Linked DNA regions of Sus scrofa. Each later gene encodes a partner of the first gene's protein in a complex. Links are inferred from orthologs where the notes say so. Each region holds a gene or a part of one and is shown in the gene's direction. Other genes may lie near its edges. The genes, in order: DR1, TADA3, TADA2A, KAT14, MBIP, KAT2A and SGF29.

What was found.
Region 2: DR1 (region 1) and TADA3 share a complex: the UniProt entries of both Homo sapiens proteins name them as parts of the ADA2A-containing complex. The link is inferred for Sus scrofa from reciprocal best matches to the Homo sapiens genes DR1 and TADA3.
Region 3: DR1 (region 1) and TADA2A share a complex: the UniProt entries of both Homo sapiens proteins name them as parts of the ADA2A-containing complex. The link is inferred for Sus scrofa from reciprocal best matches to the Homo sapiens genes DR1 and TADA2A.
Region 4: DR1 (region 1) and KAT14 share a complex: the UniProt entries of both Homo sapiens proteins name them as parts of the ADA2A-containing complex. The link is inferred for Sus scrofa from reciprocal best matches to the Homo sapiens genes DR1 and KAT14.
Region 5: DR1 (region 1) and MBIP share a complex: the UniProt entries of both Homo sapiens proteins name them as parts of the ADA2A-containing complex. The link is inferred for Sus scrofa from reciprocal best matches to the Homo sapiens genes DR1 and MBIP.
Region 6: DR1 (region 1) and KAT2A share a complex: the UniProt entries of both Homo sapiens proteins name them as parts of the ADA2A-containing complex. The link is inferred for Sus scrofa from reciprocal best matches to the Homo sapiens genes DR1 and KAT2A.
Region 7: DR1 (region 1) and SGF29 share a complex: the UniProt entries of both Homo sapiens proteins name them as parts of the ADA2A-containing complex. The link is inferred for Sus scrofa from reciprocal best matches to the Homo sapiens genes DR1 and SGF29.

What each region holds. Positions count from the first base shown.
Region 1 is NC_010446.5:123,814,588-123,818,875, reverse strand, and holds the end of DR1 (protein Dr1), read left to right. Parts: intron 1-1,389; coding exon 1,390-1,536; 3' UTR 1,537-3,788; downstream 3,789-4,288. UniProt on the Homo sapiens protein: The association of the DR1/DRAP1 heterodimer with TBP results in a functional repression of both activated and basal transcription of class II genes.
Region 2 is NC_010455.5:66,077,173-66,081,452, reverse strand, and holds the start of TADA3 (transcriptional adapter 3), read left to right. Parts: upstream 1-1,480; 5' UTR 1,481-1,687; intron 1,688-1,809; 5' UTR 1,810-1,867; intron 1,868-2,561; 5' UTR 2,562-2,587; coding exon 2,588-2,794; intron 2,795-4,280. Other genes in the region: ARPC4 (actin-related protein 2/3 complex subunit 4), read right to left, coding at 952-1,262. UniProt on the Homo sapiens protein: Functions as a component of the PCAF complex. The PCAF complex is capable of efficiently acetylating histones in a nucleosomal context. The PCAF complex could be considered as the human version of the yeast SAGA complex.
Region 3 is NC_010454.4:38,920,156-38,923,655, forward strand, and holds part of TADA2A (transcriptional adapter 2-alpha), read left to right. Parts: intron 1-1,062; coding exon 1,063-1,195; intron 1,196-1,902; coding exon 1,903-1,946; intron 1,947-3,500. UniProt on the Homo sapiens protein: Component of the ATAC complex, a complex with histone acetyltransferase activity on histones H3 and H4. Required for the function of some acidic activation domains, which activate transcription from a distant site. Binds double-stranded DNA.
Region 4 is NC_010459.5:26,512,457-26,515,956, forward strand, and holds part of KAT14 (cysteine-rich protein 2-binding protein), read left to right. Parts: intron 1-2,834; coding exon 2,835-2,971; intron 2,972-3,500. UniProt on the Homo sapiens protein: Component of the ATAC complex, a complex with histone acetyltransferase activity on histones H3 and H4. May function as a scaffold for the ATAC complex to promote ATAC complex stability. Has also weak histone acetyltransferase activity toward histone H4.
Region 5 is NC_010449.5:63,665,723-63,669,222, forward strand, and holds part of MBIP (MAP3K12-binding inhibitory protein 1), read left to right. Parts: intron 1-2,013; coding exon 2,014-2,079; intron 2,080-2,309; coding exon 2,310-2,462; intron 2,463-2,470; exon of another isoform or gene 2,471-2,554; intron 2,555-3,109; exon of another isoform or gene 3,110-3,178; intron 3,179-3,500. UniProt on the Homo sapiens protein: Inhibits the MAP3K12 activity to induce the activation of the JNK/SAPK pathway. Component of the ATAC complex, a complex with histone acetyltransferase activity on histones H3 and H4.
Region 6 is NC_010454.4:20,637,088-20,641,292, forward strand, and holds the start of KAT2A (histone acetyltransferase KAT2A), read left to right. Parts: upstream 1-1,405; 5' UTR 1,406-1,480; coding exon 1,481-1,819; intron 1,820-1,958; coding exon 1,959-2,082; intron 2,083-2,397; coding exon 2,398-2,543; intron 2,544-2,652; coding exon 2,653-2,742; intron 2,743-3,032; coding exon 3,033-3,214; intron 3,215-3,296; coding exon 3,297-3,488; intron 3,489-4,205. Other genes in the region: HSPB9 (heat shock protein beta-9), read right to left, coding at 1-357. UniProt on the Homo sapiens protein: Protein lysine acyltransferase that can act as a acetyltransferase, glutaryltransferase, succinyltransferase or malonyltransferase, depending on the context.
Region 7 is NC_010445.4:18,385,131-18,389,077, reverse strand, and holds the start of SGF29 (SAGA-associated factor 29), read left to right. Parts: upstream 1-1,147; 5' UTR 1,148-1,448; intron 1,449-3,947. UniProt on the Homo sapiens protein: Chromatin reader component of some histone acetyltransferase (HAT) SAGA-type complexes like the TFTC-HAT, ATAC or STAGA complexes.

The sequences.
Region 1 (4,288 bases):
TGTGTGTGCGCGCGCGCGCGCGTGCGTGAGTGCACAGATATATTTATAGAGATGGAAGAGAGGGATAGAGGAAGAGAGAAGTATAGGATACAGAACTGTGATAGAAACTTAAATAGTCACGGTAGCTATTGCCTTTACATTTAGTCCTTTTCCCCTAACAGTTAGAGGTAGAGTACTAGAGAACTTTCAAACTACAGAAATAATTTTTAGATGGAAAATGTTTATTTTATTTACTTATTTGCTTTTTAAGGTCCCACCTGCGGCATATGGAGATTCCCAGGCTAGGGGTCAGTTGGAGTATAGCTGCCGGTCTGCACCACAGCCACAGCAATGCCAGATCCGAGCCACATCTGCGACCTACACCACAGCTCACAGCAACGCCAGATCCTTAACCCACTGAGCGAGGCCAGGGATCAAACCCACAACCTCATGGTTCCTAGTCAGATTCATTTCTACTGCACCACGATGGGAACTCCTAGATGGAAAATATTTATGTCAAAATTGTAGTTGTTCCTGTTGCGGCTCAGTGGAAACAAATCTGGCTAGTACCCATGAGGACGTGGGTTTGATCCTTGGCCTCGCTCATTGGGTTAAGGATCTGGTGTTGCCATGAGCTATGGTGTAGGCCAGCAGCTACAGCTTGGATTCAACTCCTAGCCTGGGAGTGTCCATATGCTGTGGATGTGGCCCTAAAAAGGAAAAAAAAAAAAAAGAATTGTAAATTAAGACAGAAGAATCAAGAGAAACACGTGAAAAAGGAATTAAAGGGAGAATATTGTTTTTCTGTAAACTTTTTAAAGTTCTTCAGTTGAACCATTATGTAGCATAAAAAGGAGCTTTTATGGAAACTTGAAAACTCTCCTTAAGAGAGTTGACAGAGGAGTTCCCATTGTGGCTCAGTGATAGCAAATCCAACTAATGTCCACGAGGATGCGGGTTCAATCCCTGGCCCTGCTCACTGGGTTAAGGATGAGGCTTCCAATTTGACCCCTGGCTTGGCAACTTACATATGCTGCACAAGTGTGGCCCTAAAAGAAAAAAAAAGTTGACAGGGAGGGAGTTCTCCTCTGGCGCAGTGGGTAAGGATCTGGTGTGGTCACTGCAGTGGCTTCATTTGCTGGTGCGGAGTGGGTTTAATCCCTGACCCAGGAACTTCCGTATGCCGCAGATGCAGCCAGATACCCACCCCCCCAAAAAAAAGAGTTGTCAGAGAAGCAATCTCTAATTATATTTTCTTAGAGAATTTATGTTGTCCTAATGTACAACTGTGTAGTGTTTGGGAGGTATACACATTTGATAATGACTAAGTTTATGGTTGGCTTAATACACAAAGTGTGCGTATTGTAGGTTTTTTTTAACTTTTGTGTGTGTGATGTTTTTGGTGTTTAGGCTAGACAGCAACAAGCAGAATTGGCCCAACAGGAATGGCTTCAAATGCAGCAAGCTGCCCAGCAAGCACAGATTGCTGCTGCCTCAGCAAGTGCATCCAACCAGGCAGGATCTTCTCAGGATGAAGAAGATGATGACGATATCTGAAATTCACCAGCTGAGTTTCTATTTCCTCTATAAATGTTTTTCCTTGCACAAGAAAACAGTGAACGAAATGCTTATCTGTAATTTTGTATGCTTCTTGGTGGACTTGCCATTGGTATTCTAGGGATGTCTGCCGTTAAGTTTCATCTGTTGTGTGCTGTTGATGTAAAAACTGTCTCTTTGAACTATTGAAAATTTAAGATTCAGTATAATATCAATTTTGAATTTTTAATAGTGTTTATGAAATTTTAGATAGCGGTGAGTCCTTTATTTGGTCAATAAAACAGTGTTACAGAAAACTTCAAGTTTATAAAAATACAGTGAAATTTATACAGAAATTCTAAATCTGCGTTTGCATTTCCTCTGCCCTTTTAGCTACACTGAAAATCTGTAGTTGTTCATGACTGAGGGTGGAGGTGCTTTGTGATGCAGTAGACATCGGGTCAGGTTGGTGACAAAAGAGTTCGGTTCTGTAGTATCGGGATTTTTGGTCTTTAAAAGGAGTATATATGCAGGCAATAAACACTTCTGCTCGGGTAAATATACTTGTTTAAAAAAAATCTCAAAACAAGGCATTCAAAAGCTGGGAAGGAGTATGTTTAATAGTAGTTGTAAAATTTGGTAGGTTATGTTTTTGACTTTGATTTTGTTTTATGTAGAAGTAAAAACTACAGTTTTACTATGGAATAATTCATCCTGAGCTACACTATTACATTTCATAGACTGCCCTATTTTGAGGACTGTCATGATTCTTAGTATTTCACTTCAATAATTATTAATAGTATTACTTGCTTAGCCCATCCATGTTTATTGGAACTCGTGAAACAGTTGCTTAGGTTCCGTTGGTTTAACTGAAGTTCATAAATATTCAGACATTTGCTGGGGGAAAGAAACGAAAGTTAATGAGCATGCTTGCTATAAAAGAGGGATTTTTTTTTTGTAATTAAACTTGTAGTTATAGTTTACTCGTTTGTTTTTAACATTACTTTTACGATTTCTTGACTAGATGACCTAGTGTGTCCAATGCTTCCTTTTGAAATGGCATCATTGTCTCCATCATAATTGAGTGATCCTTTAAAAATGATTGGTTTTGTTTTGTGTAAGGAAGTGTGTCCTAATTGATCAGCCCTAATTTTGAACTGCTTGTTAAAAGGGAAAAGCTTTAATTTGGTTCCAATAAATAAAGTATGGTAGTGATTTTTATAGAAATCCAGGGTGTTGAAGAAATGGCCTATTATTTGCATTTTGGAAACAGAATGGAAAAACCACTTAAGATAGTATGAAGTAATCAAAATTTCTATGTAACATTTGCCAAACATTTAAATTTCTATATTCACCAAGCCTAAAGATAGATTGAAGCTTCCAGGATTTCAATTTTAATTGAAGAGCTAATAAAATAAATTGAAGAGTTTACATGTATTAGATTTCTTAATCATATTTTACAGTTTTAGAAAAAGTGAAATATTGTCATATATGTATTAAATACACTTCTTCCATGCCACAGATAGGTGAATCTTGCTGAATGTTTTGAGTTGAAGTTGATATTGTATCCATGAAGTGCTTTTGGACAAGATAGAAGGGATTTTTTTTTTTTTAAAGTTTAAGTACCAAAGGTAGTCTAGTCTAAGAAATAAGTTAATAAGTGTTGACTTTTCTAATTTGTACTGTAACATCCTTATACTTTCTGTTTTAAGTATATCTGTTTCTTAAATAACTTAGGCAGTTTTCCATACTTTTTTTTTCCTGATGCAGAGTTCAGGTTAATTAATATTTTACTGCATCTGATAATGTATTATATGTTTGAATTCTAGTGACTTTTCATTTTGACATCCTTGTGATTTCATATGCTGTATTCTTCAAGCAATAAAATCTGATGTGTTTTATAAATTGTTTTTATATTTAATGATCTATACAGATTAATGGCATGAAATTTCTTTTATTACCATTTTTACTAGTTTCAAGAATTTTAGGTCCAAGAGACATTTTGATCATTTGGTATGTAGTATTTGACCTTCTCCTTTGTTTACCGTTACTTCAGAAAATGTGGTTTTACTTGTATTTTTGTAATTTACAGTCCTAGGATGCAGGCATAACAAAGCTAATTAAGCAGTGTTTTACTTTTAGCTTAATTTTTAGTAGTTAAAAGTCACTATTATATTCTTTATGTTGTTGAATTTTTAAACTCTTTTGGAGAGAGAAACAAAATCTTTAGGGTTCTTGAGAAATAAAGTTATTGTTTAGTAAGTATTTTCCCCACTTCCTTGAATTTATGTCTTTTTTTCCAGCAGACTATCAGATTAATAAGTGTTGAAAAGCCATCGATTTTTTAAAATTACGCCATACATTTAGAAGAGTACACAAATAAAGGTTTCAGAAATTAAACATACTTATTTTGCCTGCCCTCAGATTAAGAAACAGTGTTATGAATATCCCAGAAGCCCTCCTTTTTGCCCTGTCTTAATGCTGTTTTCTTCCTCCCCAGAAATAATTACTGTTCTGACTTCTAAAATCAATTTTGCTATTCTTTTATTTTATGTAAATGCTATCATACGTAATGTACTCTTTTTTGTTTGTCATTGTGTTTGTGATTATGTTGACTTCCTGATGCCACAGTTATAAAATACCACAAACTTGGTTTTTTAAAACAACACAAATGTATTTTCTTGCAGTCCCGAAGATCAGAAGTCCAAAATCCGTTTCATTAGCCCAAAGTCAAGGTTGGGTCCTGAATCTGGAAATTGTGAGTGAAGAGTCT
Region 2 (4,280 bases), on another chromosome or scaffold:
ACGATGACGCATTCTGGTGTAATACCTCAACAAATCTGATGTTTAAGAAAAGCAAAAGGCATGGCTTCAATTAGAATATCCCAGGTTTCTAACTGAGGTTATGAAAACACAAAGCCAGAAGACAAACACAAGAGGACAAGCAAGTTTAGGGAAAGAGGAGTTACGGCCTGGAAGTCTAATTTCAAGGTGTCTTCAACACTTCCAGGTGAACCATGAAAGAGGGCTAGACCAGCAGATTTAGGAGTTACCAGAATGCAGACGGTCATGAAGACCTGTATGTTAAATAGGTAGCACCACCAGGGAGAGTGTAAAGAGGAAGCTAGTGAGTCTAAATTGCTATGAACAGCCAGTTATCAAATGAGAGGATTTCCAAGGAGGAAGGAATCAGCAGTATCAGAGCTTACATTCTATAGTAAGACTGATACGGTTGAGTTCCGACCAGGAAGCGGTCTGGGAGGTAGAAGCACAGCTGGGGCAACATGAAGACTGGGATAAGGAAGTTCCACAGAGAACGCTCTCCCTCAGAGAACCATGGGGTCAAGAGGGCAAGAGGGGGGTGCATATTTAGTGAAGGTCTGCACTGGTTGGGGAGGTGGCCCTATTACAAGCCTCAGCGGCCCTACTAAGGGCTACGGGGCCTACTACGTGCCTCCGACGTGCTACCATACCTAGGAGCACCCACTCCCAGCTTCCTCTCTGATTCAGTATCTCCCACCTGCTTCAAAACCCAGACTATGAAGCCGAAAGGCCTGCTTCTTAGGAGGGCGTCCCCCGCTCGCTCCTTTCTCACTTCGGCCCCCGCCCCTCCCTCCTCCCAACCTCATGGTGCCCCCGCACCCCCAGCACCCCACGGCTCAGCGCCTCTCCGCTGCAAAGCCGCATCTCCCCCAAACCCAGAGCCTGAGGACAGAACAGTGGGGGTCCCTGGCCCGGGTCCCGGCTCTCTCTCACCATCGCGGGCGCTGGCTGGGCCGGAAAGCGGAAGTACGGAAGTGGCCAGCCCCGCGACGCCTGCCCTTTCGCGAGAAGCGCAGCCGCAGTCTCCGCCCGGACGTCCGGACTGTACCATCTATGTCCCGAGCGGGGGAGGGAGAAGCTAAAAACACTTGGCACTTCGGAAGTTTTCCCGCTAGGACTGCCGTGGTAGTTTTAGATTCCTGAAGTTTGAAATCACTACTCAAGCTTCTCCCGTCATCGGTGAGGCTCTCGCTTGTGACTTTGGCCTTCTTGTCGTCTTTGCTGCCATCTTCCCTCACAGCCATGCAGTGGTGCAGCCCAGCCTCAGGTTGGGCACCATATTAGGACAAGGCGAGCCGGGGGAGCTCTTCGATCCTTCCGGTTCTGTGCCCCCATCCTTTCTCCGGGCCCCTCCTACCTGCAGCCCTCGGGGCTCAGCGGGACTAACTGCCAAGCGGAGAACCCGGCCGCCGAGCCCCGCCCCCAGGCGCCGGGCTGTTCCCGAGGGTACGCCCGAGGCTTATTCTCTCCACCCCACTAGCAGCGGGCTCACTCGCTGCCGGCAAACTCCCACCCTCGAAAGACCCAGGGGCTGGTCCTCGCGTCTTTCCGCCCCCGCGTGCACTGCTGGGGGCCAGCCCCTAGTCAGTTCCGGGGCGGTAGCTCTCACCGACCGGAACTCCCCGCCCCCACCCGCGGCCCGGGGGCAGTAGGAGGCGGCTAGGAGGAGGTAGAGGGGGCGGGGGCCGCGGTAGGGTGTCCGCGGTAAAGGTCTGGGACCCAGAAGGCGGGACACTGGGGCTATCCATGGGTGGGGCCAGTCATTAACCAGTCCCACTTTTTCTGTGCCAGGCACTGAACTGGGCTCTTGACGGGCATCATCTTTTAATCCTCAGATCATCCCAGGGAGGTAGGTACTATTACTATCCCCGTTTTATAGATTCAAACTTCTTATGGGGAAACAAGCTCAGGTGTCTTTTGTCCCATTTTACGGATAGAAAAACTGAGACTCGAGAGATAATTAACATGTTCAGGGCTATATAAATAGAGGCTGGTCAAGCCAGAGCTTGAATCCTGATGTATCTAGTTTAGCAGTTCACATTCCTTACTATCTGGGGCAAATAGGGAAAAGGTGGGGAGGGTGAAACTAGGAGAGGCTGGGAGGCACAAAGAACGTTAACGTAAGTATGGAATACTTGGAATTCTGGAGTTTAGCAGAACTCTGGAAGAGTGGAGCTGAAGGGAAGAGCATCAGAAGGACAGGCACAGTATAACTGTGGTTAGAGGCACAGACTTAAAACTACCTGAATTCAGATTGCGTGTTGATAAGCATGAACATGTACCCACTCTAACAGTCTCAGTTTTCTCATCCGTAAAATGGAGATCACCATGAGTCACGGGGTTATGTGAGGAATTTAATGAGAAGCCAGTAAAATGTCTGCATCTAGCTTGGTGCACAGTAGGTGCTTTACAAATAGGAACTGTGACTTCAGCCTTAGTAGGATACTGAAGCCTGGCTTTCTTCTTGAGGCTGTCTGAATAGAAGGAGCTCTTGGTCTTTTCTTGTGCCACTTGTCCCCCCATCAGTGGTCCGTTCTCTCCAGCTCCACAGGGTCCCCTATCCTGGGCCATGAGTGAGCTGAAGGACTGCCCCTTGCAGTTCCATGACTTCAAGTCTGTGGACCACCTGAAAGTCTGTCCCCGCTACACAGCAGTGTTGGCCCGCTCTGAGGATGATGGCATCGGTATTGAGGAGCTGGACACTCTGCAGCTGGAGCTTGAGACCTTGCTTTCCTCTGCCAGCCGACGCCTGCGGGTGCTCGAGGCTGAAACCCAGGTGATACCCCACAGAGGGACACCAGGGATGGACTGTGACAGGTTGTGGCATGGGTCACTGAGGTAGCTAGCCCTCTCTGCTGAGGCCTGAGGTATGGGAGCATAGTGGGGGGAAGAGAAACCCAAACTGGGCTTATGTGACGTGTAAAGTATGCAGGAGGAGTTCTGTCGTGGCTAAGTGGAAACGAAGCTGACTAGCATCTGTGAGGACGCAGGTTCAATCCCTGACCTCGCTCAGTGGGTTAAAGATCCGGTGTTGCCATGAGCTATGGTGTAGGTTGCAGACGAGGCTCAGATCTGGCATGGCTGTGGCATAGGCCAGAGGCTACAGCTCCGATTTGACCCCTAGCATGGGAACCTCCATATGCTACAGGTGTGGCCCTAAAAAAAAAAAATCAAAGTAGGAATGTGCATGATCCTCATAAATTTCAGGATTTCTAATCCACTAAGCATCTATTGACCCCCACTCCCCACAATGTTCTGGATCCTGTGCTCATCATTAGAGAGGTAGTGAGGACAATTTGGGCCTTGAGGGAGCTTGCCAACTAAAGAGAGGAGGAGGGAGTTACCATTGAGGCTCAGTGGTAATGAACCCATGTAGTATCCATGAAGATTTGGGTTCAATCCCTGGCCTCGCTCAGTGGGTGAAGGATCTGACATTGCCATGGGCTGTAATGTAGGTCACAAACGTAGTCTGGTTCTGGCATTGCCGTAGTTGTGTCATAAGCCAGCAGCTGCAGCTCTGATTCAACCTCTAGCCTGGGAACCTCTATATGCCACAGGTGTGGCCCTAAAAAGAATGAATGAAGGGAGGAGGAGGGCACACAAGTACCAACTGATGTGCTGTTGTGGTTAGGAGTACTGAGGTAACTGGAATGAGGAGGCCTGGATTTGCATCCTGGCCCAAGCACTTGCCAGCGTTGCTGTTTGCCAGCTATGTGACTTTGCACAAGTTACCTCCTAGTTCTGAGGATCAGTTCTCCATCTGCAAAGTGGGCTGGATAATAGGACCTCCCTCAGAGCTTTTGTGAGGATTTGAAGACTTTTCACAAAGGCTCAGCACAACACCTGATACTAAGTAAGCATGTCAAATGTTATTTATTGGTATACTTCTGATGATTTCTATTTATGGCATAAGCATTCTCTGAGCCCTGTATGCCAGGTGCTATGCCAGATGCGGGGGAACAGAGATGTTTAAAATGAACCTCTGTGTCTCTAACAGCTTATAATCTTGTTGAAGAGACAGAGTACTCTGTTTTTGTTTTTTGTTTTGGGTTTTTTTTGTTGTTGTTTGGTTGGTTGGTTGGGTTTTGTTTTGTTAGGACTACGCCTATGGCATATGGAAGTTCCCAGGCCAGGGGTTGAATCAGAGCTGCAGCTACCAGCCTACACTACAGCAACGCGAGATCCAAGCCACACTTGCAACCTACACCACATGTCACGGCAATACCAGATCCCTAACCCACTGAGCAAGTCCAGGGATCGAA
Region 3 (3,500 bases), on another chromosome or scaffold:
AGAGCTATAACTCTGTTCGCCACATCTGTAATTCTGTTCGTTCAGTTTCCAAGTCTCTTGCAGTTAATAGGAAGATTAGAGATAATGCATGGAAACATAGCACAGTACCTGGCACACAGTAAAGCCTCCATAAATGGCAGTTTCTGTTGTTTTGTTGTTGTTGGAATGATCTTCAGCATTTCCTCCTTCTTCTTGTAAATTGACAGTTGTCACCCGCTGCCCACAAGAAGTGGTCCTATGGGTGTAAGTTTGGCCTCCTATAGTGGCTCTTTATTTTTAATGATGGAAGCTGTTTATAAAATGAAATTTTATGTGGAGGTCCCATCCGTAAATAAGATAAAAATGGGACTGCTTTGGTTGACGTCTGATGGTTCAGGTCCTGTGTGGAACCCAGGACCACCAGGATGGGGAGGTGCTCGTGGTCTTCCCAGTAATCCCTGAGAGACGTTCACGGGATCCTGGGGCTCTGTGGGACGTGGTTGAAAACCCACTGGTGTGGTCCTTTGGATCCTGTGTTCCTTTGTAATGTATGAAAAACACTATGCAGCTGTTGAGCAAGATGCATATAAAGACTCTGATACCACGTTTTGGTTACCTGATACTGGTTGCCTCTGGGAAAGAGGGGGAAGGATAGTACTGGTCAATGAGGGTTTGCTTTTATTTGTAATTCTGAGTGGTTTTTAAGGAAGGGTACATATATAGCACTTGTGTGACTCGCCAAAATACATGGATAGAAAAAACAGAACAGGAAGTAAAGATGACAATATTAAAAGTTACTTTTTGAGGGATATAAGCAACTCTTTGTGCTTTTCTGTTTGGGTTTTTTTCCTCCCCCTCCCAAATCCCTTAAAGGTAGAAAAGGAAGATATTTTCATTTCTTGTCAGAAAAGGGATTTCAAACTAGGGGAAATCACTTTGCTCTTAGGAAAACAATCGTGGAAGCAGTTTTGCAAAGGAAATTTTAAAAAGACAGACTTTGCTGATCAGTTAGGAAGCCCTTCAGTTAGTTCTGCTCCGTTGTCATTGTGGTCACCGTGGTGGTGGTTTTTTTCATACCTCCAGGTGCCAGAACCTATGATCACCTCAAGAAGACCCGAGAAGAGGAGCGCCTCAAACGTACCATGCTCTCCGAAGTCCTCCAGTACATCCAGGACAGCAGTGCCTGCCAGCAGTGGCTCCGCCGGCAGGCTGACATGTGAGGGCTTAACGCCGGGTGAAGGAGCAGCCCCTTGGATGTTTTGGCCTTCCCTGCATTTTCAGACATTTCTTTGTTGTTGGAATGATCTTCAGCATTTCCTCCTTCTTCTTGTAAATTGACAGAGCAGAGCAGTCCTAATTGGGTAGCTAGCAGAATTCAGAACATATTAGCAGTTCTCAGAAACAGCATGGTACTGACAGTTTTGAGAAACATAACTGGCCTCCTAGAATCCCACTTTGCTGCTTTGATTCTCCCCTCCCCATCCATGACATGTGGAAACGCCCAGGCCAGGGATCCAACCCGCCCGCAGTGCATTTGCGGCCTGGGCCGCAGGTGCGGCAATGCCGGATCCTTAACTTGCTGGGCCGCAAGGGAACTAATTTTTTAATTAGTAAATTCTCTCCCCATGCCTTCTTTCTCCCTCTATATTTATTGGTATGATTTTCATCGGAGAATCATGTTTCTGTTCCTTCCCCATGAGTGGCCTCCGTGATGGGCCAGGCCAAGAGGTCGTCTTCTTGGCAAATCCGAGCGATTTCCTTTCCTGGGTAGTTCAGTTGAGGTATCCTGGAGAGCATAGCCGTCTGTCTCATTACTTCTCTTCGGAGTAACTGACCCAATAAATGTCACTCAGTCTCATGTGGGCTTTTGGAAATTGCTTTCTTTGATGTGACGTAAGTTTAAATTCCTCTTCTTCATTGTAGTGATTCTGGCCTGAGTCCTTCTGTTCCAATGGCTTCGAATTCAGGTAATTATGTTTCAGGCTGGAACAAGCCTTGATTGTGAAGTTTTCATTCTAGGGAATTAGGGTGACCCAGCAATCCCTTCTGCTTTTGTGGGAGCTGCCAGCTGCTTGGGCAGAGGAGTGGGGATTAAGTGTGGTATCCTGGTTTATGAACGTCAGCAAGATTTTAGAATCTTCATTGTCAAACAGGGCCTTTCCTCAGGTTTGGACTGCAAAGACAGGGAAAGAAAGAACTCCAGACAGGTGTTTTCTCTATTTTATCATTGTTCGTGGGCAGTTAGTTACTGTGGTTCTGTCTGCCACAGATTTTGACATTTGTCTCACAGGGGATCAATTAAAGGCTCTGTCTTATGTGAGCAAAGGGGCAGGCTACTTGCCAGAAAAGAAAGATTTTCTTTATAAGTTGGAAACTTAAGGTATTTCTTATCTTTACCTCTTGGGGTATGTCCTATTTTGAGGTTAGTGTACAGAGCAGGATTAAGCCAAATGCTGTCTGATAATCCTTGGTGCCTGGTAATCAGTGGATGGTAGTTTAAGGGGGTGTTAGTTGTAGAGCTCTGGTCCAAGATTGTGCTATTTCTCTGCCCGTTTTCATGGTTATCGTTCACCCCTGCCCCAAATAGTAGATTAGCCATGTCCCCCAGTCTGAACATGCCGACCACTCCACTGAGGACAGACTGCCCTTGTCAGAAGTTGACCCACTTGTAGTTTTACCATTTTTTGAAAGGTTGGAACAACAGACCTTGTGATCCCATTCAAAATCTCTCAGATTCAGGATCTAGACAGGGCTCAGAAAAGGCCACTTTAGGGATTTTTTTTTTTTTTTTTTTTTTTTACCCTTTTGTTTCAAGTAATTAAAAGAGAGTCTTTTAGGGAATAACCAAAACAGTTAAATCCAAGTTTTATTTTATATGTTTCTTACATCCACCCCTCCCCTCAGTCTAAATACAGAAATACAGATAATTTAATATTGGCTAATTAAAATGAATGAAGAAGGGATGTTTCTGTCATGGCTCAATGGAAACAAATCTGACTAGCATCCATGAGGACGCAAGTTCAATCCCTGACCTTGCTCAGTGGGTTGAGGATCCGGCATTGCCGTGAGCTGTGGTGTAGGTCGCAGATGCGGCTCAGATCCTGTGTTGCTGTGGCTGTGGTGTACGCCAGCAGCTACAGCTCCGATTCGGCCCCTAGCCTAGGAACCTCCATGTGCCACAGACAAGGCCCTAAAAAGACAAAAGAAAAATGAGCAAACATGACCGTGCACCTTTGGCATTTGTGTTTTTTGAACCAGTCACCCTCACTCTTTGTACTTCCTGGGCGGGTGTTAGCTTTCCTTGGTCCCTGCATTAAGCTGGGAGATCCCTTGCTTCCCTTCATACTCTGTTTGATCCCAAGGCAACGCAGAGTAGGCAGCCTGGATCCCTGATCTAACCCAGCCTCTGGTCACTTGGGTGAGGCACGGAATGACTGTGGGCTTCCTTTCTGAGGCTTTAGGGTAAGGCACTCATCCCCTCTGTGGATGTGACAGGGAAGCCTGTTCCATAGCAGAGCAGC
Region 4 (3,500 bases), on another chromosome or scaffold:
CCTAGCTGGGGATGTGCAGTGAGTTAAGACAGAGGAGGTCCCTGCACTTAGGGGGTGACATCCTGAGCAAGGAGGTGATAGTACTAGTCAGCTAACAAGGTGAGCGCCGTGGGGAACAGAGGGGTGGTTGGTGCCTTTCTATGGAGGTGACGTTCAAACCTTCTTCTGATCCACAAGGTGGAGCCAGCCTGAGAGGGTTCAGGGCAGGAGGCCCTGAGGTGGGAGAGTTGGCTGGGACTTCTGATGGCAAAGGAAACGGGTGGTGGTGGGAGATGAGCCGATCCTGCAGGTATGGGAAAAGGGTTTGAGTTGTATTCAGAATACATAGCAGGAAGCCACATAGGAGTTTCAGCAGAGTTTATGAGTTTGTTTGTTTTTTGTTTTTTGGTTTTTTTTTGCTCTTTAGGGCCAAACCAGTGGCATATGGAAGTTCCCAGGCTAGGGGTCAAATTGGAGCTATAGCTGCCAGCCTATGTATGTCACAGCCACAGCAATGCCAGAGCTGAGCCTCATCTGTAGTCTATATCACAGCTCACCGCAACACCAGATCCTTAACCCTCTAGGCGAGGTCAGTGATTGAACCTGCATCCTCATGGATAGTAGTCAGGTTTGTTTCCACTGAGCCATAATAGGAACTCCCTGTGAGTTTTTAAAAGGAGAACCCGGCTTTGTGGGGGGTGGGAAACATGGCAGCAGGGAGCCCGGTTGGGAGAGGAGGGGTGGTCCAGGTGGAAGTCGAGGGTAGGTAGCCCAGCGTGGAAGCAGCGGGAAATGGAAGGACCTGGCCTGGGATGGTGTAACAGCCACAGGGCTTCACAAACTCACTGACATGTTTACCTGACACTATTTCATGGCTCAGTGGCTGGCATTTGGGTAATCTGTGGCTGCATCACAGATCACCCCAAAACTTAGTGGCTTTAAACAGTAAGTGTTTGATTCTTCTGAGCCTATGGGTTGATTGGGCTCAGCTGGGTGTTTCTTCTGCCTGATGTGCTAAGGGAAGGGCCATGCTTGTGTCTCCACTCAGCTGGGACCTGGGTCTGGGTGGAATGGCCAGGATGGGCCTCTCCTGTTCCAGAGCCTAGCTCCATGTGACCTCTGGTTCTTTAGTGGTCTGGTCTGGATAACGTGGCCTCTGGACTCAAGAGGAGCAAAAGTGAAAGCTGGCTCCCTTACAGCCTGGGCCGAGAAGTCCCAGAATGTTACCTGGGCCACATTCTGATTGGTCAAGCCTGGCCCAGGCCCACCAGATTCCAGAGAGGGGACCATGATTCCACCTTTTGATAGGAGGAGACATGTGTACCTGCAGGCACGGAAGGAAGCATGGGGCCGTATTTGGAAACTATGCTGCAGCTTGGAATTTCACTGCGAAACTTATTATAAAGTCCTGGAAGAAGTTCATGAGTGGCCTTTGAAAGTTTTGGTGTCCAGTTTGGGAAAGTAACGAGAGCACATTCTTAAAGAAGGAATTCTTGCTCTTCCAACAGGGTTATTTTCTAGGTTAAGAGCAAGCTGATTCTACAAAAACAACTCAGGTTTCTAAACTTCATCCAACCCTTGGCAAAGCACTTCATAAATGTGCCTTTTAATCTTCCATCCGAGCGCTTTGCTGTAAAACCCTAATTGTCCGTGTTCTGTTATGACATGACCGAGGGCCCTGGAGCAGCACTGTCTGGAGAGCAGATGTCTACAGCTGTTCTTTTGGGATGCCCTCCTGAGGAACAGGAGCCAGGTCCTCACGGACCCTCTGGTTGGGCCTCTCAGCTGTCATGGTGTGTTTTAGGGATGAAGATCTACATCAGTTCCACTCCGTCAGGTTTACTCAGTAGAGACAGATTTGAATAAATCCGTATACAGTACAGACACAGCAGTAACTGGCCCCATGCCTCTTGAGGTAACAGAGGCCATTGTGAGACATCAGCCCCGTGTGTGTTACCTATTCGATTCTCAGCCCGGTTGATATTTGATGAGTGGATTAAAGGTACAGTGTAGACAAAATGAATCCTGGAGAAGCAGTAAATCCAGTGGTCATTTGTGTATGTCACCTGTTTAAATGTCTTTTAAAGTTGTTTACATAACTAACATTTAAAAAATTATTATTATTTTTTTGCTTTTTAGGGCCGCACTCATGGCATGGAAGTTCCCAGGCTAGGGGTCTAATCGGAGCTACAGCTGCCAGCCTACACCACAGTCACAGCAACATGGGATCTGAGCCACCTCTGCAACCTTCACCACAGTTCACGGCAACCCTGGATCCTTAACCCATTGAGCAAGGCCAGGGATCGAACCTGCAACCTCATGGTTCCTAGTCAGACTTGTTTCTGCTGAGCCACAACGGGAACTCCAAAAGTTATTTTGCTTTTAAACTGGTATAACTGGGGAGTTCCCGTCGTGGCGCAGTGGTTAACGAATCCGACTAGGAACCATGAGGTTTCGGGTTCGGTCCCTGCCCTTGCTCAGTGGGTTAACGATCCGACGTTGCCGTGAGCTGTGGTGTAGGTTGCAGACGTGGCTCTGGCGTAGGCCAGTGGCTACAGCTCCGATTAGACCCCTAGCCTGGAAACCTCCATATGCCGCAGGAGCGGCCCAAAGAAATAGCAAAAAGACAAAAAAATAAAAAAATAAAAATAAACTGGTATAACTGGGATTAATTTTCAGTTATAATTTTATGCAAATTACCTTTGAACTTTGTATTAAAACTTGAGCTTTCCAATTAATGCAAAAAGACCTACTTTCTGATACATAAAAATGTCACAAGTACTGCTTATCTGTGAGAATTAAACCAGTCCTTTAAGTAATTTTATTTTTGTGTAACTAGTATGTGTTTCTCATAGACTGCCTTGCCATCCAGGAAGGGATTTCGGCACCAGACCAGTAAGTTTTTGTACCGTTTGGTGGGATCAGAAGATATGGCTGTGGACCAGAGTATTGTCAGCCCTTATACTTCTCGAATCCTGAAACCTTACATCAGGTACATGGAGTGTGTCATGGGGAATAATGTTTGTGGGTTTTGAGCCCCCATTGGAGTGAATAAAGACCAAAGCCTGATGTCCAGTCTCATCCTTGGCTTGTTTTAATTGTACTCCTGTGCAGAAAGGATGATCCTTTGAAGGAAACATAAAAGACAAAGTTTAAGTTCTTGGTTCACAGTTGCCCCTGCTGAGCACACTTGCTCTGCAGTCAAGTCATGTGGTCCTGCTCGCCCAGCACTGCCCTCCCTGGCAGACACGTGGAGGCAGCCTGCGTCACTGCCCCAGTCCCCAGCTGCCCTGGCAGGGTTGGCCCTATCTTTCCTGGGCTCTGTCCTGGGTCAGAGCATTCAGAGGGTTGAATTAGGATGCTGTTTCCTTTCCCCACTGTGTTTGTTAAGGCTCGCCAGCACCAGGTAGAATTCCTGGCCAGTATCGAGGGGTTTGGTCTGACTAATGTTAATAGAGTGAATTTAAAAGTATTGTAGCTGTTAAGCTGGCTGCCATATAAAGTAGGGCAAATTAATTTAA
Region 5 (3,500 bases), on another chromosome or scaffold:
TTTATGTCACGATAAAACCAGTCTGTCATGAGGACTATAGTGTCTTATGGCTTTTTCCTTTCTCTCATAGCACATACGTTTGCTGTTTTTCATCAGATTTTCCTTTCCTCTCAACGTGATGCTATACTATATTTACAGGTCCGCAGGTATGCTGCAGAATGCAAAATTGCAAAGCACTGGTAGCATAGATCATATTCAGGCATCATAGTAATAATCAGAACAAGTAGTTCTTAGAAAAATTATGGAGAAGAGTTCTAATTGGAATGAACAATTTTCTTGTTGCCTCTAATATTTCTTGGCTAATTATTATGAACACAGAATTGTCAGATGAACCTAGAATTGACAGTGTATCACGTTCGTAGACTGATTCTCCTCATAATGGAATAATACAGGCTCAGGATGGGTCCTAAATTTAGCTTTTTCTACTGTTAACATTATACATGCATATCACTAGATTTGGTATATTTTACTGTTAGCTTTTCAGAACAGGTGCAGCAGTGGCAAAATCCCAGGTACTGCAATCCAACTGCAAGCAGCCCATGAGAAAGGGTTTGTTGAAGAAGCAAGCGCATGTGTCACTAATGTTATTCCTCTGTTCTCCCTGCTAACTCTATTATTATAAACCACCAGGGGATAGAAATTGACAAGAATTGAAATGCTCAGCAGGATTCCTTGGCCCATTCAATCCCTTGCTGGCTCCAAACAGTGCTAGGAAGAATTGCTGTGGAGAGTGACTAGCACTCATACATTCACTATCTTCACACCATGCTGAATTTCTCTCTAATGGGTCAGTTAATCTATATATTTGGAATATAGCTCTGGAATGGATGATAGCTTCTTTTTTTAACCCTTAGCCCCATGAAATGGCAGGAAGAGAATGGAGAGGTGATGGCCCTTTAAACATATTTTGTGGTATCTCAAAAAAAAAAAAAAGAAAATGACTCTGTCTAGTATCTATATATAAAAGATAAGTGAATTTGGAATTTTATTCACACAATTTGATGTGTCAGCAGAACTGTCTTAGGAAACTTAGACTGAAAAAATTGAGATGTTATGTGCTAGTGTGCTCCTTTTAATACTTCTCAGTTGGTGTATATGTAAACAATTTTTTAGAAAATCAAATTCTATAAAGAAAAAATTTTCTTTCAGTATCTCTTTTTACCATCCATTTTTTAGTATAAAATAATCAAGGAGAATTTTTTCAGAAAATTTGCTACAATGCATGCTTTTACTTAACATCATTTTGAAGATTATTTTATATATGAAATGTTTATATATTATGTTAACATCACTCCAGCTTTGTCTCTTGGTTTGTGATTTATATGTCGATACCCAATATGAAAGAAGCTATGCTTTTCAACCTAGGAAAAATTTGGAACAAATTTTCACATATTATCTTTCTTAAAATTGCATTTTTTGAAAGGGGCAGGCTGAAAAGTGATAAATAGCTTTTGTGATTAGGGATTTTTAAAATGGGCATTGGAAATCTAGATAGTGTAAAGGTATGTTTTTTCATAGTATTCTGAAATGAAGATGTGTTGAATATGTAATCCATTTTATTAGATGTTCATTAGTTTGATCAGTAAGTAATAACAAAAATGCTCTATTTTTGAAAAAGACATTTCAGTAACGATAATGAGTTTTGTTTATTTCTATGTTGAAATAACATGAATAATGTCTCTGGCTTATTTTAACTCTCTGTAGTATATAAATTGTTTTCTCCAAATGTCCAGGTGGTTTTTAGGGAGATTGGTATTGATTAAAAATTATATTGAATTATGCCACCAAATATTGAGGATTTTTCTGTATATAAATCTGGAAATTAGATGAGATTATATATTACAAATTTTAGAAGGTAAAGATAACTAAATTGATAGTAATTTAATTACTATTATTTAAAATTATATTCTTTGATTATGAGTAATATGTTAATATGCATTATTGGAGGGTTATCAAAATCTCACACATTTTTAAGAATATATTTTAACTTTACATTCATCTAAATTCTCCTAGAAAATAGTTGTGCGAGAACTGATGCCGTTTTTACTCCTTACCCTGGATTTAAAAGTCATGTAAAAGGTAAGTATTTACTGTGTAATATCTTCATCACTGACAAAGCTTATTCTAGATTATAAGCAAAATGGAATAAAAATCACTTTCCTATCTAAATTTTATTTATTTTAAAACAAAGCAAAAAATCTTGCCTTTCTTCATACTTGGTTTGTGGTTATAAAAAGAACACAACGTACCGTTAGAATTTCTGATTTTTGAAATGTAAGTTTAATAGGCTCAAAAATTTCTTAACTTAGTTTCTAGAGTTGTGAATACATATGGACCACAGACTAGACCTGAAGGAATTCAAGGATCAGGTCATAAACCTAACAGCATGCTCCGGGATTGTGGTAATCAGGCTGTGGAAGAACGACTGCAAAATATTGAGGCTCACTTGCGGTTGCAGACAGGTAAGCAGAGTGCTGGGCAGTGTCCTATAATGTACCTTTGCAGATGGTTAAAGAAATTCTGATTCATTTAGTAACAGATTTTCGTTGAGCCCCTGTCATATACAAAACATCATACTGGTTAGTACAGAAAGGAAGGAAACATAGTCCCTGCTCTCAAGTAGTTAACAGTTTCATGTGTGTATGTTCTTCCTTCTCTTAACACTTCTCAACAATTTGAGAGTGGTAGTATAATGGGAACAAATTCCAAATAGATCCTGACACTCTCAGTTTATTAAAGTCATGGCCGAAAACTAATATAGTCTTTTTCCTGTCATCAGTTTCATAACTTAACCATGACCATCTCTCATTCTTAGCACCCACTGTGCTATGTACAAAGTATTAATAGTGTAATCCTCATCCTTTAAGGTCTCCCAGTGGGGATAAGCATATAAATAAATAAATGCCATAAGGGAAGTGACTGACATTTATTGAATAAGTGCCAGTCACTCTGAAAATACTATACATGTGTCAACTCACTTGATATTTAACCAGTACCACTGTGAGATCTTGCTGCTGTTATCATTGTCAGATAAAGAAATTGCAGTTCAGAGAGCTCAGCAACATGCCTAAGGAGTAAATGGCAACTAGAAATCAAACCTCTATCTTACCTGACTGCAGAGCCTGATTCTCCCTCCCCATTTAGTCACCAGATTTTGTTGATTCTATCTTCTGAATATCTGCAAAAAGCACAGAGGCACAAAGTATGATGGTTCAGGGAATTTCTAGAGTCCAGTCTGGCTGGTGTATTTGTGAATGGAGGTAGAAGAGAATGAGTACATCTTTGAGGATAGTTAGAATGAGCTTTAAAATTAATCCCCTCTCCCAAAACTAGATGAATTTAAAATACAACTGTTTAACAGGATTGACTGCTTTATTAAATCTAATAGAATCAAGATGGTAATTTTGAAAAGTATCCATTGAATGCCTACTATAGGCCAAGCACTGTTTTAGATAGGAGGGATACTGAGATGATGTAGTCACATTTGGTGGTTTCAAAGA
Region 6 (4,205 bases), on another chromosome or scaffold:
GAAGCCATCCTCCGCATGGACGTTGTCCCGCATAGCTGCCACATCGTCCGTGAGCTGCTGCACTGGCAGGGTGGCCACCTGGTTCTGTTCAGTGAAGGCAACGCTGGCACATCGGGAAGCTGACTGGCTCCCGTTGGGGAGACCGCTACTGACCCGCTGCATCCGAGAGAGCAACTGCTGGTGAAGAGCGCGAGGCTCCGAATGTAGCGCTCGGCTAGGGCGTGGGGGCCCCCGGGAGCGGGGGCCTCGGGCCGGAACGGCTGCACTCCCGCTCCCGCGGCGCCTGCTCTGTTGAGGGGGCTCCCCTGGCTTCCGGCAAGTTTCGCTTCCGCGGAATTTGGGATCAGCTATGCACATAGCTCCACGAGTCAGGTTGGCAACCGCTCTGACGCCTCCGCGGCTGCTTTTATCCCGGATCCTGCCCCTTGCTCGGGCCCTTCCCCAACTCCGTCAGAGGGCCCTGGCCTGCCGGGGCTGTGACCCAAACGGATAGGCCAAAAGAGGCCGGCGGCCTGTGAGCCCCACCCTGGAGCCGTCAGCAGCACGAGCAGAGATGAGATTGAGCCGCCCGGCTCATGCCCTTGCGAGAATCCGGCCTGGGGGCAAGCGGGGCCTGCCCTCTGAACAGAGCATCAGAGTGTGACTACAGGGTCATCCATTCTAGGAATGTCCTTCCGATCTCTGACCATGCACAATCCTGCGACACATAGGGTTTGGAAGGTGGACGCACCTTCCTGGTTTCCTTCATTCATCTGACCCTGGGCCTACTGGTGGCAGGCGCAGAGCTGGGCTCTGGCACCAGTGCCCACGGTGTGAGAGGAGAGCCACACCCATAGGCCCTCCTCTGCCTCTACCTCATCCCCACCTCTGCAGTTTTTTGAGGGGCCACAGCCATTATTCTGGCCCTCAGTGCTTTTATGATAAGCCTTTTTTTGTTGAAGTAAAACAGAAAAATGCACAAAGAGAACACACACTCGTGTAACCCCTCCACAGGTCAAGAAATAGTATTGTTGCTATTTAATCGCCACCCCAGCTGCAGGTCCGCGTCCGGAGGTACGCGGGACAGGGTCAGTGTGGGGACGGGAGGGAGCGAGGCAAGAAGCCGAAGCGACTCTAGGCCCTCCAGGTCTACACCTTCTCTCCCGGGCTTGGGAGGCGAGACCCCGGAGAAGCCTGCTTTGTGGGATGCTTCTCCCTGTTCCCACCAGGACAGCAATCTAGACTATCTTGGAAGCCTTCCGTAGAGATTACAAGTTTAGAGGAGTCCATCTGGGGTGCTAGGTAGGGCCTCACTTGGCTGTCCCGGATTTAAGAAAGAGGACAGAAAAGTCTGGAAGCTGGAGGCGAAGAGCGGCTGTGAAAAGACTACAACTCCCATCATGCTCCAAGGTAGCGACGCCTGCGCACCGAACGCCGGTTGCCCATGCGGCCCTAGGGCTGGGAGCGCCGCGCCGCGCCGCGCTCCGCAGCGGGGGAGGCCATGGCGGAACCTTCCCAGGCCTCGACCCCGGCCCCAGCCGCTCAGCCGCGTCCCCTTCAGTCCCCAGCCCCCGCCCCAACTCCGACTCCTGCTCTCAGCCCTGCTTCGGCCCCGACTCCGGCTCCCACTCCGGCACCAGCCCCCGCCCCAGCTGCAGCCCCAGCCGGGAGCACAGGGACTGGGGGGCCCGGGGTAGGAAGTGGGGGTACCGGGAGCGGGGGTGATCCGGCTCGCCCTGGCCTGAGCCAGCAGCAGCGCGCCAGCCAGAGGAAAGCGCAAGTCCGGGGGCTGCCGCGCGCCAAGAAGCTTGAGAAGCTAGGGGTCTTCTCGGCTTGCAAGGTGGGGGCGGGGCCTGGGGCGAGAGGGGGCGGGGCTTGGGGCATCCCAGGGCTCGGGTGGGCAAGGGGGCAAAGCTCTGATTGGGGAGCGCTTCTCGTCCCGGGGTTACAGGGTTATTGACGGATCCTTCTGTCTCCAGGCCAATGAAACCTGCAAGTGCAATGGCTGGAAAAACCCCAAGCCCCCCACTGCACCCCGCATGGACCTGCAGCAGCCAGCTGCCAACCTGAGCGAGCTGTGCCGTAGCTGTGAGCACCCCTTGGGTAAGGCAGTACCCTTGGAACTGGGGTGGGGGTGGAGGTCTTGGGTCCTGCTTGGACAGGATGACTTAAGTGCCACACAACTTCATCTTTGAGAGATCCGAGATGCTTCCTGAGGAGGCATTGGGTTGGGAGGAGAAAGGAGATCTCTCAGTCCAGAAGAGAGACCACCCAGGGCTGACACAGGAGCCCGCAGTCTCATTGCCGGTCACCCTGGTCGGAGGGACTGAGGATGCGTCTTGGCTGGTGGTGAAGAGGAGCAGGAAGCCCTGTCGATCCCTTCTATCAGTTTTCCACAACCACCACTTGTCCTTACAGCTGACCACGTGTCCCACCTGGAGAATGTGTCAGAGGATGAGATTAACCGGCTGCTGGGGATGGTGGTAGATGTGGAGAATCTGTTCATGTCTGTTCATAAGGAGGAGGACACGGACACCAAGCAGGTCTATTTCTACCTCTTCAAGGTGAGCTTCCTTGAAGGAAGAGTGTGAGTGGGCAGAGGAGGGAGGGTGGGGGGGGTCTGCCTTTCTGTGCTCCGCTGACTTCTACTCCTCCCTCTTCCTCTTCCTCCAGCTCCTGCGGAAGTGCATCCTGCAGATGACCCGGCCCGTGGTGGAGGGATCCCTGGGCAGCCCCCCTTTTGAGAAGCCTAATATCGAGCAGGTGGGACAAGGAAGGTGGTAAGATGGTTGGAGGTATAATGGAGGAGTGGGGAGCCAAGCTGGGGACAGGGGACAGGTTCAGAGAAAGGAAGAGGCCTTGCGCTAACTTCAGGGTGGGTGTGAAGGTGGGAGGAGGTGTGATTTCTCAGAGAAGGCCCTCCAGAGCCGGAGCCCCAGAGAGCCTTGCGCTCTGCCCTCAGGAAGCACCCCCCTACTTCTGGATCAGAAGTCCCTGCCAGTGGCTCACGCCTCCTCCCCTGTTTTGTCCCCCGCTCGCCCCCACCTCCTCAGGGTGTGCTGAACTTTGTGCAGTACAAGTTTAGTCACCTGGCTCCCCGGGAGCGGCAGACGATGTTTGAGCTCTCGAAGATGTTCCTGCTCTGCCTTAACTACTGGAAGCTTGAGACGCCCGCCCAATTCCGGCAGAGGTCTCAGGCCGAGGACGTGGCTACCTACAAGGTCAATTATACCAGGTAGGTCCAGCCAGGGACGGCGCAGGGGAGGCTTGTAGGTGTCTGCTCTCACTCAGCAACCCACTCCCCACCACCACCACAGATGGCTCTGTTACTGCCATGTGCCCCAGAGCTGCGACAGCCTCCCCCGGTACGAGACCACTCACGTCTTTGGGCGAAGCCTTCTCCGCTCCATCTTCACCGTCACCCGGCGACAGCTGCTGGAGAAGTTCCGGGTGGAGAAGGACAAGCTGGTGCCTGAGAAGAGGACCCTCATCCTCACCCACTTCCCCAAGTAAGGTTTGTTCTGGCCTATCAGGATCTTGCACCGTGTTCGCATCCTCCCTGTGGCCCCCGCTTTTTCCAGGAAGACTTCCTGGGTTGGTCTCTCTTTTCTCTCCATGAGCCTTCTGGGATCTGGGCCTCTGGCTGACGACTTACCCACGGCCCAGATGCCACTCGCTAGCTATTTCCCCTTTCACGTCTTGGTCTGGGGATGGCAGGTGCATGGCCCAGGTGCTGATACTGTCCCCACCCACCTCCCGATGGACGTGACTAATTGTTTCCCATGGGGCATGGATGCAGCTCAGAATCCTCACCACAGCACTCTAAGAAACCAGAACTTACACCTGTGAAACCGACTTCCACCCTGCACTAGTCCTTCCTGGGAGATTTACTCTTCTGCCACACCTTCCCTTCATTTTATTCTATCTTACTTGATCTCATGTATTTATTTTTGTCTTTTTAGGGCCGAACCCAAGGCACATGGAAATTCCCAGGCTAGGGGTCTGCAGCTACTGGCCTACACCATGGCCACAGCAACGCTAGATCCCAGCCGCGTCTGCGACCTGCACCACAGCTCACGGCAACACTGGATCCTTAATCCACTGAGCGGGGCCAGGGATTGAACCTGTGTCCTCATGGGTACTAGTCGGGTTCATTAACCACTGAGCCACGGCAGGAACTCCCTTCCTTTGATTTTAAACCTGGCTCGCAGCTACCCAGTTCAAGA
Region 7 (3,947 bases), on another chromosome or scaffold:
AAATTAAAGATAAATTCAAACAAACAAAAAAATTGAGCCCCAGGAGTTCCCTCTTGTTCAGTGGGTTAAGGATCCAGTGTTGTCACTGCTATGCCTCAGGTTACAGCTGTGGTGCAGGTTGGATCCCTGGCTGGGAAACTTCCACATGCCATGGCACAGACACCCCCGCCCCAAAACGAGCCCCAAATCTCCCTTGAGGAGAAAATAAAATTGACATTTGCCATTCAGGAGAAATAGCTTCTGAGACTTCATTTTTTTAAAAAATTTTATTTTATGGCTTCTCCCGCGGCACATGGATGTTCCCAGGCTAGGGGTCCAATTGGAGCTACAGCTGCTGACCTACACCACAGCCACAGCAACACAGGATCAGAGCCGCTACACCACAGCTCATGGCAATGCCTGACCCTTAACCCACTGAGCAAGGCCAGGGATCAAACCTGTGTCTTCACAGATGCTAGTCAGATTAATTTCAGCTGCGCCACTACGGGAACTCCTGAGACTTCAATAAACACGAAAATGCGAACTCCTTGCTTCTGTAAACCCCATAAAACGCAGGATATAGAACTGAGACTGGGTAGATGGTCATGCAACTTACTGAGAGACCACAGAAAGAAGAGTAAGTTTGATGGTAAAAAATGTTGCATTAAGTTTTGGGCTGAAATGGTTTGTGTTGAAGTCTAAGACTCTAATATGAATTTTAAAAAATAGAACGCTTATTATATACCAGCCACTATGGGTGTATATAGGTGAATAAAACAGTGGATCCTAACCTCCCTGAGCAGGCAAGTGTACCAAACAAACGTAAAATTTGGTATGGGTTATGTAAGAGATTACAAGATACTAGGATGTAAACCGTTGTGGTTAAACATTTGCTCACAATGACAATATGTTCCTGACAATACTCTCTAAAAGAATGATATCTGGGTTTACAGATCTGCTTATTTCTATTTATTTTTAACATTTTTTAAATGAACTTTAATTTTTGAAGCAGTTTTAGCTTTCCAGCAAAATTGAAGGAACAAGTACAGAGTTCTCATATGCCCACTGCTCCCCCTTCAATCAACAATCTGCTCGTTTAAAAATTTTTTTATTGTTTCATCGAGGTTTTGGTAATAGGAGTGGATACTGAAAACACGCTCTGGTTGGTTAAAACAAGGTTCAGCTGAAGAGGCGGAAACTCTGTGTCCAAGTAAAAACTACATTTCCCAAGGAGCAGCGCGGCACGGGAAGAGAGCGCACGCGTAGAGAGGAAGACAGCGCACGCGTAGAGAGGGTCTCGCGCTGCTCATAAAAGGGAAAAAGCGTGCGTGGTTCTTGAGCCGCCGCGAATCTTCGAACGTGAGCGCGTTGTTATCCGCAGACTCTGAAAGGCATTCGAGGGAAGACGCGCCTGCTCCCGCCGTCGCAGTTTCCAGCGCGACTTGCTTATTCCACCCGTGGTTCTGTAGGTGGGTATACGTCGTGGTCTGAGGCACTGCTTGGCTCCCCGCACCCCCGCTCGGAGAATGGCGGGAGCGGAGGGCCGGGGGGTCCCTGTTCTCGGGCGTCGCTGAGGCAGCTCTTGAGAGGCAGTGCGCACGCGCCCTGGACCGGGAGAGGCGGGGCGCTGGGAGGGAGGGCTGGCGCCGACCTTCTCTGGTAACTGACTGCGCCTGCGCTCGCCGGCTGGAAGAGGGTGGGAAGCCGCTGCACGTGGAGCTTGGCTCCGTGGCTGGGAGGGGTGGGTACGCACCCCAGGTGCGAGAGAACAAGGGCAGAGGATGGGGCCCGCACTTTGGCAGCTTTCATTATTTGCTGAAGGTGTGCTTAGTTTAACAACCTCATTCTTCATATTCCTCCAGGTGCTTTCTATTTCACTGCAGCCAAAACTTCATTCTCTACTCATTAGCCCCTTTTCTCCTTCAAACACACTCCAGTAAGGCCTTGGCTCTCACCCCTCCACTGAAATGGAAATGCGTGCTTCATTTGCTATGCGGAACATTCTCGTCTTCAGCTTCAGCTCTTTCTGGTTTCTCCTCTGCTGATTCTTGCTCTAACTTACCCTCAGTGGTTGGTTGTACTGCCCCACAGCCTCATCTTTGATCTCTTTTCTGTGCTGTTTCCTAGGCTTTAAATACTCTCTCTTTTTTTTTTTTTTTTGTCTTTTTGCCATTTCTTGGGCCGCTCCCGTGGCATATGGAGGTTCCCAGGCTAGCGGTCTAATCAGAGCTGTAGCCACCGGTCTACGCCAGAGCCACAGCAAACGTGGGATCCGAGCCGCGTCTTCGACCTACACCACAGCTCACGGCAACGCCGGATCCTTCACCCACTGAGCAAGGGCAGGGACTGAACCGGCAATTTCATGGTTCCTAGTCGGTTTTGTTAACCACTGAGCTACGGCGGGAGCTCCTAAATACCATCTCTTGTGTTTAACTCTCAAATTCTTGTCCTCAACTCATTGCTCTACCTGAAATTTTGAGTTTTACCATTCACCTTCTTCAGTTTTCCAATTTTTCAAACACCTTGAGTTATACTAGATGTCTTTTGCTTCCCCTCTGTCCTCTTTCTCCATCAGTCAGTACATGTTTATCTGTTTATATACTTGTTTATGTGGCCACACCCACAGCATTCCTAAGTTCCCAGGCCAGGGATCAAATCTGAGCTGCAACTGCCAGCTAAACAGGATCTTTTAACTCATGGCTCTGGGCTGGAGATAGAACCAGCACCTTGGCAGCAACCTGAGCTGCTGCAGTCAGATTATTGTTTATTTATTTGCTTTTTAGGGCAGCAGGTGTGTCATATGAAAGTTCCTGGACTAGGGATCAAATTGCAATTTCAGGTGCCAGCCTATGCCACAGCCCATGGCAATGCCAGATCCTTAACCCATTGAGCAAGGCTAGGGATCAAACCTGAGTGCTCATGGATACTAGTCTTGTGTTGCCACTGAGCCACAAAGGGAGCTCCCTGTAGTCCGATTCTTAACCCACTGGGAACTCAGACAGTCTCTCTTCAGAGCATGTTAACAGGAACTGATTTGTTTTCCAGGATCAGGGAGAAGATACTGAACAGTCCAGCTTCAGAACTGTTGCAGTGTTTCTAAGTTCAAAGACCGTTTTAGGAGGCCTCCAGGGAGTACCCTGGTGGCCTAGTATTTAAGGAACTGGTACTGTCATTGCCGTGGCTCAGGTTGGATCCCTCTGCAGGTTACAAGTATGGTGTTAAAAAAAAAAAAATTTCCAGGATTCAGTTCAGTTCTGCACTTGCTTTTGAGGACTTAGTAGGTGCCAGGCCCTGTGCTAATTGCTGGGAATATAAAGATGAATAAAAGTGCATCTCTCTCTTTTCAGAGATCTTGGTGTGGCAGGAGAGACAAACAATATGGTAGTCTCTGGGTGCATGTGTGACAAATGCAGGAACAGATGTTTGTGTCCGGTGCTTTAGAAGTTTCTGGAAGTTCTGATTGCCCATGGCATCAGGGCAGATTAGAGGGGCCTGAGACAGCCACATCTCCCTGCCAGTTGTTTCTGGCTAGGAGCAGCTTTGTCCTTGTACCGTAGTATGCCATACAAATACTGTCGTGTTCTCTGTGTGCCCTGGTGTGGAAAAGCTTGGCAGGTAGTGCTGAAAAAGTGTGAATTTTGCTGCCATTTGATTTGGGCCCTGAAAAAATGAGTAAATTTGAGAGATCCAGAGGCAAAAATGGAGAAGGATCGAAGGGCAGACATAACTGAAACATACAGGTCTGCTTGTTTGAGGCAGGGGCCCTGAGTATTTCAATATGGGTATCGTAGGGTAAGGTCAGTAGAGAAGGCTGTTTGAGAGGTGCCATTCAGGATCTGAAGCAGTGCCTTGAGAGTGTTTTGTACACCTCAGTGTCCGTTTTTATGAATACCTCCCCCACCACAAGGCACCCTGTTCTCAGTGGGTAGGTCTATTAGCATCCATAGTTTTAGAGATTAACTTTCTGG